Arabidopsis thaliana: one gene and its partner. The protein of the gene in region 2 interacts with the protein of the main gene of each other region in a pairwise test. Each region holds a gene or a part of one and is shown on either strand. Other genes may lie near its edges.

The links.
Region 1: the proteins of HB5 (region 2) and LRB1 interact in a two-hybrid assay, tested with the Arabidopsis thaliana proteins (one study listed by BioGRID).

Annotation. Positions count from the first base shown.
Region 1 is NC_003071.7:18,993,939-18,999,222, forward strand, and holds LRB1 (BTB/POZ/Kelch-associated protein), read left to right. Parts: upstream 1-1,706; 5' UTR 1,707-2,172; coding exon 2,173-2,428; intron 2,429-2,553; coding exon 2,554-2,688; intron 2,689-2,825; coding exon 2,826-2,944; intron 2,945-3,044; coding exon 3,045-3,108; intron 3,109-3,335; coding exon 3,336-3,615; intron 3,616-3,693; coding exon 3,694-4,525; 3' UTR 4,526-4,734; downstream 4,735-5,284. UniProt on the Arabidopsis thaliana protein: May act as a substrate-specific adapter of an E3 ubiquitin-protein ligase complex (CUL3-RBX1-BTB) which mediates the ubiquitination and subsequent proteasomal degradation of target proteins.
Region 2 is NC_003076.8:26,101,274-26,106,153, reverse strand, and holds HB5 (homeobox protein 5), read left to right. Parts: upstream 1-1,539; 5' UTR 1,540-1,936; coding exon 1,937-2,003; exon of another isoform or gene 2,004-2,299; coding exon of another isoform or gene 2,300-2,312; coding exon 2,313-2,725; intron 2,726-3,238; coding exon 3,239-3,697; 3' UTR 3,698-4,336; downstream 4,337-4,880. UniProt on the Arabidopsis thaliana protein: Probable transcription factor that acts as a positive regulator of ABA-responsiveness, mediating the inhibitory effect of ABA on growth during seedling establishment. Binds to the DNA sequence 5'-CAATNATTG-3'.

The DNA.
Region 1 (5,284 bases), on a different chromosome or scaffold from region 2:
TAAAAATTAAGATTAATTAAATTAAAATATTATATTTAAGACCTAATTTATCTAAGAATTAACTTAAAAAACATTAGATTTGGCTCTTATATAAGAGCTATTCTTAACCATTAATTGAATTATAACATTAAATTTAAGATCTACTTTATCTAAAAACTAACCTAAAAAACTATCAATAATGATGGTCTTACGAATGCCTAGATTCTCTTCAATATACAAAAAGTACGGTTTAGTTATTGTTTGGACATTTGAAATCTAACTAATTCTCTTTTTAGTCTTAATGCAATGGAATTGCAAATACTCCATAAACCATAGTGTTGCACCCTAACCGTATCTCTCTCTAAAAGAGAATCTAGTCAACAAGATTATGTTTAATCTCTAATTAATGACAATAAGATTTACTGCCAAAATAAATAAATAAATAATAATAATAAGATTTACTGCCATTTATTCTTCTATATTTTTCAATTTTTTATTTACACTTGTTCCATAATCGTCCCAAGGAGTAGACTAGGGTTGATGCTCTTTCATCTATAAAACGACTTAACACAACATGTTCTTTCACATCATCATCATAAGCCTCAACAATCCATCACCATACATATTAGATTCTCCCTCTTTCCATAGTTTATTTTTGGTTCGTTTTATTGTAAAAAGATATCAAACTCTTTTTGGGGGACATTCGTTCTTCAAGTGTAACAGAAGGAGCTCCCTTCCTCCAAAACGAAGAGGACAAGATTTGAGGAACTAAAATGCAGAATCTAAGAGTTCATGTCTTCCTCATAGAGAGTGCGCGGTGTTAAAAGCTTGAAGAAAGCACACTTTAAGGGGATTGCACGACCTCTTAGATTCTCCCTCTTTCTCTACATATCATTCTCTTCTCTTCGTTTGGATTGAAGGGAGCTCCTTTTCTTCTTCTCTTAATTAGTCTCTGTTCTTCAAAACTTGGTTTCGATCTAACTTGTTTTCTTTTTCTCTAGTGCATTTTTTTTTTCAGGTTGTCATGTTTATTTGCAGGTGTTTGTGGTTGATGCTTGCATGGAAGCAATATTAATGTTGTTTATTTACGAGAAGACGTTCGTGTGCCAATTTGAAAATATGATATTAATGGAAATACAGATTAAAACTGACAAATGTATAAATATTTCTTGTTCCTTGTTTTAATTTTAACATTAGTCGTGTGTTTGTCGTAAATACGAAGGGGACATTTCACCTAAAAAAAGAAAAAAATATATTCATCAAAACTGGTCTTGGATACGTTTTTAGTTAAAACAAGAACAATAATAAAGTTAGGTTTAACTTCGATCAGATCGAAACAAGTACACTATAATTGTTTTGGTTTGAGAAAATATACCATCGATGGTTTCAAGAAATAATAGCAGCTGGGTTGCTTGTAGTCGATACGTTAAGTCGTATCATCTCAAATGATCCCTAGTAGTACACAACATAGTCAACTGGTTTGTCATGTGTTGGCCTACGAAGAAATGTATACCGGCCGGATTTCAATTTATAAATTAGTCCTTTTTTTTTTGTCAAGTTATCATTGCATAGCCAAGTTTCACTCGGTCAAAATCTAATTAACAAAGTCTGTAAAACGTTGAAGTAATTGTATTTTATTAAAAGAAAACTCCAAATTAGACTTTGATTCCAACGAATATTTAACGACATAAAAGGCATTGCCGTTTGTTGAACGAGTTGTCTTCTTACCAAATTTGACGCTTTCCAACTAAATACACTCCTAATTTTGCCTATTACCTTTTTCCTCCTCTAATTAAGTAAATGCTAAATTTCCCCCAAATACTAAAAATCGAATCCGATAAGTCAAAATCAAAATCGTACCTACGCGATTTATGCAAAATACCGGAAAAAGAACCAAAGTGCTTATTACAATCAAAAGACCAAACCGGTTAAACAATTAGTTAGGCTGGCATTAACGAACCTCTTTGTCTTTAATTAGCCTTTATCCGTCACCGCCCTGTTACCATAACCGTTCAACGTCGACCCGCTCTTTGTTTCAGAAAAAAAAAACAGAGAAAGACTTTTTTAGTGTTTCTTTGTCATTTTCGTTCCTCAAAAAAACCTTTTCGAATTTGACCCTTATTGTTATCCTGATTCTTCTGCTCGGTTCTCGCCGGAGAGAAGACACGGAGAAGAGGGTTTTCGAAAAGGAGGATGAGAGGTTCCAATAACACCGATCTATTTGACCCTAAGACGGAGATGGATTCCAATTTCTCTCGCCATGGTTCTTCCTCCGAAGGTGATTTTGGTTTCGCTTTCAATGACAGTAACTTCTCCGATCGTTTGCTCCGGATCGAGATCTTGGGTGGGCCTTCGGATTCTAGGTCTGATGCTGAAGGATGTACGAGTATTGCCGATTGGGCTCGTCATCGCAAGAGGAGAAGAGAGGACAACAAGAAGGACAATGGTGGTACGTTTGATTCCCTATCGGTTGGAATCTCAGATTTTGTTGTTGTTTTTATGAATTGTTCTTATGGTTGGTTTAGGGCTTTTGGGTTTAAATGTTTAAGAAACTTATACGTTTTGCATTTCCAGTTGCGATTTCAGACATTGTGGCATGTGCTGAAGAACAGATTTTAACCGATAACAACCAACCTGATATGGATGATGCTCCTGGTGGTGATAATCTTGACGATGAAGGAGAGGCAATGGTTGAAGAGGCTTTATCAGGTACCGTTCTAAATTTCACATTGTCTCTCGAGTGACTGGGTTTGAATTTGTGATACTTAACAATTTTCAGAAGAGCGTTTTTTGTTGAAGTCATTTGTCTGAAACGTGATGGCTTTGTTTATTAATGGTTTTTGTAGGTGATGATGATGCATCTAGTGAGCCAAACTGGGGTATTGATTGTTCTACTGTTGTTAGAGTTAAAGAACTGCATATTAGTTCTCCTATCTTGGCCGCAAAAAGCCCCTTTTTCTACAAGGTATTAACCTTTTTTCTTCTTCTATGTTCTTATTGTTTGCTCTTGTTCATCTCGCATGTAATGCTATCTTTTGCTTCTTGTTTTCCTTACCCTGTTGTAGCTGTTTTCTAATGGAATGAGGGAATCAGAACAAAGACATGTAACCCTTAGAATTAGTGCACAAGGTACGACAATTTAAGTCAAGCTTTTAATTCATTTCTGCTATTCTCCAATCTCTTTATATTGGCTTCAATTCTCTACTAGCTCTCTGTTGGCTTCTTCTTGTTTTGGATTCTTTATGCCTCTTGTATTAACTCAGTTGCTGACTTTGATTTACATATGATATACGATATTAGCTTTAAGGGAGTCCACATTGTTGATTTCTCATGCTCTACTTTTATGTGTATTGTAGAGGAAGGTGCTTTGATGGAGCTTTTAAACTTTATGTATAGCAACTCTCTAAGTGTCACAACAGCACCCGCTTTATTAGATGTTCTTATGGCTGCTGACAAGTTTGAGGTTGCTTCCTGTATGAGGTATTGTAGTAGACTACTGCGAAATATGCCCATGACCCCTGATTCTGCTTTGCTCTATCTTGAGCTGCCCTCTAGTGTTTTAATGGCTGAAGCAGTGCAACCTCTAACCGATGCAGCAAAGCAGTTCCTTGCCTCGCGCTACAAGGATATTACCAAGTAAGACTCTCCAGTGGTTTGAAATGCATTTACTCTAGTGTTGTATAATTCTTGTTCATGTGTTACCATCTTGTACAGGTTTCATGATGAGGTTATGGCCTTACCATTGGCTGGAATAGAGGCGATACTATCGAGCGATGATCTCCAAATTGCTTCTGAGGATGCTGTTTATGATTTTGTCTTGAAATGGGCAAGGGGACAGTATAGTTCATTGGAAGATCGTAGAGAGATTCTGGGTTCACGCCTTGCACTCTACATCCGCTTCCCATACATGACGTGTCGAAAGCTGAAAAAGGTACTAACGTGCAGTGATTTTGAGCATGAAGTAGCATCAAAGCAAGTATTAGAAGCGCTCTTCTTCAAAGCAGAAGCCCCACACAGGCAACGCATCCTCGCAGCTGAAGGATCGGACTCCATGAACCGCCGTTTCATAGAGAGGGCTTACAAATACAGACCCGTAAAAGTGGTGGAGTTTGAGCTTCCTCGCCCGCAATGTGTAGTGTACCTGGACTTGAAGCGAGAGGAATGCGCAGGACTATTCCCTTCAGGAAGAGTCTATTCTCAGGCTTTCCACTTAGGAGGTCAAGGTTTCTTCCTCTCAGCACACTGCAACATGGACCAGCAAAGCTCGTTCCACTGCTTTGGGCTATTCCTCGGAATGCAAGAGAAAGGGGCTGTGAGTTTTGGTGTGGACTACGAATTTGCGGCAAGAGATAAAAGTACAAAGGAAGAATACGTAAGCAAATACAAAGGAAACTACACATTCACAGGGGGGAAAGCGGTTGGTTACAGAAACCTTTTCGGGATTCCATGGACTTCGTTCATAGCCGAGGACAGTCAACATTTCATCAATGGCATTCTCCATCTCAGAGCCGAGCTCACCATTAAACGTTCCTCAGACCTGCACTGACTGTTTTCTTCTCTCTCTCTCTCTATGTCGTCACATTTAAGTTGTATAATCTCGTTATGTAGCAGCTCTAACCACGAGTGTCCTTTGTACAATAATTGCCTAAGGAGCAAAAGTATGGCTTAAAGAGTACCTCATTCTGTAAATTCTTTGATTGGATTTTTTTACTTTTCTATATGGGTCTTTATAAATAGTCCAAGATAGAATTTGGGCCTAGCTTTTGAGGTTAGTCTTAAAATATGGGCTCAAGGCCTACTACGATGCGTAATGATGAAGCTAAATTGCCTATAGTGTGAACATTAGGCTTTTATATTCAAAGTTCAAACAATGCGGCTATAGCAATGGTACATCGAGGAAATAGAATGAAGTGACAAGGATAATTTAGGAAATGAGGATAGAGGAATTGAGTCCTCGTCACATGGGGCCCACATAAATGCGTAAGTAAGACTATCCGCTTACCAGACGGACACGTCATTTTGTCGGGACACGTTTGAGCCGTTGGATGATTAATCTCCTTTTCTGACTTATCGACCCCACTTTTTTTTTCCACTACAAAATATTGATGGCCACGTCAGATGATTCGAAGTTATATAAAACACACGTTTTTATTGCAGCTTAACCGTCGATTTTTTTCTAATCGAGAAACCGAGATCAACGGTCTATATTCAAAGCTGATGTGGTCTGTACCTTTGCTTACGTCACCGAAAACCTAAGTTGAATAATACTAGTACTAGTATTATGCTCTCTGATTTCTTTCTACAG
Region 2 (4,880 bases):
AATATATATATATATATATATTATATTTTATTTTATTTTCTCAAAATGACTGTTAGATGTTTTCTCTGTATAATTGTATTGTTTGATTCAGAAACACTTAAAAGTATATATTATTTGTATAATTTTAATTTTTGTTATTAACTACAAAGTAAAACAGTTGGTAAAAAGGTTAGTGAGTAATTCAAACTGTGAAAAAGAAAGTCGATTTACTTGTAGAATTACAAAGTAATTGAACTTTTTTTTAATGTTTCTTATCTATTGTCAATATATCTATAAAAATACTACTGCCAGACTAAAATAATACATTTTGTAGTAAATGGGCAAGATCGTTACAGAGACAGACAGACAGCTATCTCATCAAAGCTTTGTCTCCTTTCCCATTACCCAATTTTAAAAATATTTTGCAGCGTGTGAATATCCTTTGTACACCACATACTCTTTTCACATATATAATATTAAATTACACTAAAATTTGTGTACAACTATTACCTATATGTATATATATGTCAGCATGCAGCAGCTAACGAAGCAAAAAACATGTATTAATCCGACTGTCTATATATGTAAGTAACTTGCGTTTAGAAAAAGAAAAATATGTATTAGGGACTTGCATTGCGTTTCTTAATCAGAATGTAATAAGTTAATAACAATGCTGAAACACATTGACACTAATTTTAAAAAATCTTTTCGGTTAGAGCAAATCAATTTGCATGGCCAACTACTGGACCGACTACTATTGCAACTTTTTTTTGTTTTGTATAGTATTTCGTTGCGTGTATCTGCAATATATATCACCCATGACCCATGTCTATATTTATTGTATTTAAACGAAGGTTGGTCCAGTGTATTAATACTGATTGATTATGACATTTTAATTGAAAATATCCCAAATATCAACTCTACTGTAGTCCGTAGAGAGACCTGAATCTCTAATTTACTGTTTTTTAACCATGCCATCAACCAATCCAATAAGAAAAACAGGAACAAAATACAAGTGAAAACGAAGTAGCAATTGCATAATTTGGGACTCCAGAAGTTTTTTTATTAATCCTATAGAATCAAATTTTTTTCGGAATCAAATTTTAACTTTAACTATTGTATCATTACGCTAACTATGAGAACATCTTATATTATTATATGATTTTTCAACTGTTAAATTTAAAAGTTGATCATTTTGTTAGTATATGTTTCAAAAAATTTAATTTTCAAAATTATGTCGTAGTATATGAAAAAGCAACGAGTGTTTTATATGATAAAGTAGAAACTAATGATTTTGAACTAATTTAATGAATCTTTAAAATCTATGCCGGCTCCTAAGTAGCCGAGCTGAAAACCCATGGCATTGTCATGATTCACGTCCTGGACCAAAGTCTCATGAGTAAACCGGTGTCTAACTCTAACCATTGTAAGCTATTTTGCATTTAATTACAAAGTTTAAAAAATCCCCCGAAATTCCTGAAATAACTCAAGATATCTCCAACACTTCCTCTAGGGTTATCCTGTCGTCTTATTTAAAACCCGGAGTTGGGGTGAGAAGCCATCTCTCTCCCTCTCTATCTCTCTCCCTCTCTATCTCTCTCTTACCAATTTCCATTTCTCGGGGGAAAATAATAATACGACTTTTGAAATCTCTCACTAATATTTCCCAAGAAAACCTGATGAATTAAAAGTTCATATTTTCTTGGTGTTGATTGGTATTAGATGACTATTTCTTAGTATTAGTCAATTCTCTGTTTCCATCTTATATGGATAGTCTAGACACAGAGCAAAGATCCTTCTTTGGAGAAAAAGAAGATGAGAGACGAGAGAGGATCGTTTCTTCACGTATTGGTCGTAGATAGATCTTAATCGATAACCATCTAGGCCTTGATCTAACCATTCAATATAAACTTTATTTCCTTCTTCTTTTCGATCTCAATTGTTCCGACCAAACAAGATGAAGAGATCACGTGGAAGCTCCGATTCTTTATCCGGTTTCTTACCAATTCGCCATTCTACAACAGGTAAAATAAGACTCTTGTAATATAAACTCTTATACAATTCTGAAACTGCAATTATGTTTGTTGATGATCATTAGAAAGATACTAATGAATTTTTTTATTATATGATTGTGTTTTATTAATTAACATTTTAAGTAAATATATGTTTTCTGACAATTCATACTATCGAGACGTTATCCTGACAAGGTTTTGTGATTACTCATGACATCATAAATATTCCATTATTTGATTGAAACTATCCGTTTTATGAGATTGGTTAGATATATAGTAGTACTATTTTTAATGTACTACCTTGATTAATGATTTTAACAGACAAACAAATAAGCCCAAGACCAACAACTACCGGCTTTCTCTATTCCGGCGCCGGAGACTACTCCCAGATGTTTGACGCATTAGAAGACGACGGAAGTCTAGAGGACCTCGGCGGCGTTGGACACGCGTCTTCTACGGCGGCGGAGAAAAAACGGCGGTTGGGTGTAGAGCAAGTGAAAGCGTTAGAGAAGAATTTCGAGATTGATAACAAGTTAGAGCCAGAGAGGAAAGTGAAGCTGGCTCAAGAGCTTGGGTTGCAGCCACGCCAAGTCGCGATCTGGTTTCAAAACCGCCGTGCTCGGTGGAAGACAAAGCAGCTTGAACGTGATTACGGCGTTCTTAAGTCAAACTTTGATGCACTCAAACGCAACCGCGACTCGCTTCAACGCGATAACGATTCACTCCTTGGACAGGTATAGTCTTTGTGACTTTTTTTTTTGTCAATAAATTTAAACGTCTAGGCACACCCAAACAACCATCTTAGCCATTATTGTAACTAAATCCATCAATGATTCGGTCAATCAAATAAACGAACGTATAGAACATTAATAACATCGTTTCAATTTGTTTATTTTGAAATTACAATTTGAATTCTGACCGTTAGACTAAAGTTTTGATCGTCTGTGTTTGAATTGCCTTTAATTACGTTGATTTTTCTTTAGTGTATAAAAAAGTCACAAACTTATGCATTTTAAGCTAATATCATTTGTTAAAAATATCATTTTAAGCTAATTACAAATGATAAACCAAACACAAACAGATTTTTTTTTTGAATTTTGTGATTAATATACTAAAAGTTTCATGTTTATTAATTTATTATATAATTTGGGATAATAATAGCTAAATTTAAACAAATTCAGAGATAATCCTTTTGTTTGGTAGATTATAAAGAGTATTGATATTTATAAAACATGACATTTATGCAGATTAAAGAGCTGAAAGCAAAACTTAACGTGGAAGGGGTTAAAGGTATAGAAGAGAACGGCGCTTTAAAAGCAGTGGAAGCAAATCAATCGGTGATGGCTAATAATGAAGTCTTAGAGCTAAGCCACCGTTCTCCATCGCCACCACCGCATATTCCTACGGACGCTCCGACATCGGAGCTCGCATTCGAAATGTTTAGCATTTTTCCACGCACGGAAAACTTCAGAGACGATCCTGCCGATAGCAGCGACTCAAGCGCGGTTTTGAACGAAGAGTATAGTCCCAATACGGTTGAAGCAGCTGGCGCAGTGGCGGCCACGACTGTAGAAATGTCGACGATGGGTTGTTTTAGCCAATTCGTGAAAATGGAAGAGCATGAAGATCTGTTTAGTGGAGAGGAAGCTTGCAAGTTGTTTGCGGACAATGAGCAATGGTATTGCTCCGATCAGTGGAATTCGTAAAATGTGGGGGCAGAATTAAAAGCATAGAAAAGCTGAAGGGGGTATGTGGAAATATTACTGAAGTCATATTGGGTCGGAAAATGCATTACTCAAAATATTGGGGTTTTTCTTGAGAAAATGGAATATGACGCGAGAGGGTAGTAAAAACGAGCGTGTGGTGTTCCATGCACGTGTGGCCGTAATCTTTTCAAGGTTGAATGAGAGAGGACAAAAAAGTCTGAAATCATCGGGAATAAAAAAAATATGTGACGAAGAAATCGTTTTTTCGTCGTTTATAATATTATTTGAATAATTTTACTTAGGTGAATGTAATCGTCAAAAATCTTTAAATTCCGAAGGGTTAAAGATTCTGAGCACGACTAACTATCTATCCTCTTTTATTGTTCTCGTCGTCCATTGACGACTATGCACAATTCATAAGATTATTCCCTATGTACAATGTGTCTTTTTAGAGAAACCTATCTGAATTTTGAAAATGTTATATAATTTAATTTTGGCATTGATCTGTTTCAAAGTCGACATGATACGATCGATGCTAATAAGAACTGTTTATTTCGAGATTGAGAGTGGTCCAAATTTGAGATGTCGGATTTGATAAGATGCATTACCAAATAATGCTTTTAACCAAAAAAAATCCTCAAATATAATCAACAATTGTTTTGAATCGGTCAAATCTTCTTGTTGGTTTCTTTAAAATTGGATCTTCAATTGGTTCATTTAGATAGGTCTAAGTTGTATGTTTAGTTTTAGCATCTGTCTTACCAACTTTTATGATAATCGATTATTATTGATTTATGTGGTGATAAGTTTTGAGCTACAACACTGTAAAGTCTGTAATTAGGATAAAATGTCATATCGCATTTTTTGTAAATGGATTAATAACATACAAATCATAGCATGATAAAAAAAAAAAAAACATAAAACCATTCAACGTATGCATAATTTCTCTTTTTCGTTATCTTTTGAAAATTTCTCAGTAAGGACATGGAGATAAAACATGAAAAGCCGAGCCACATAATTGGATCTCCCTAAATATCCGTGTTTGTTTCTAGCCGTTCCTTTTTCTCCTTTTGTTACTTGCTTTTCATAACCTAAAATCTTGTTTTTTATTTGCCTTTTTGCTGCAAGGAAGAAGCACGATTACTATTTGTTTATTCAAATATAAATCCCATCGTTCGATATA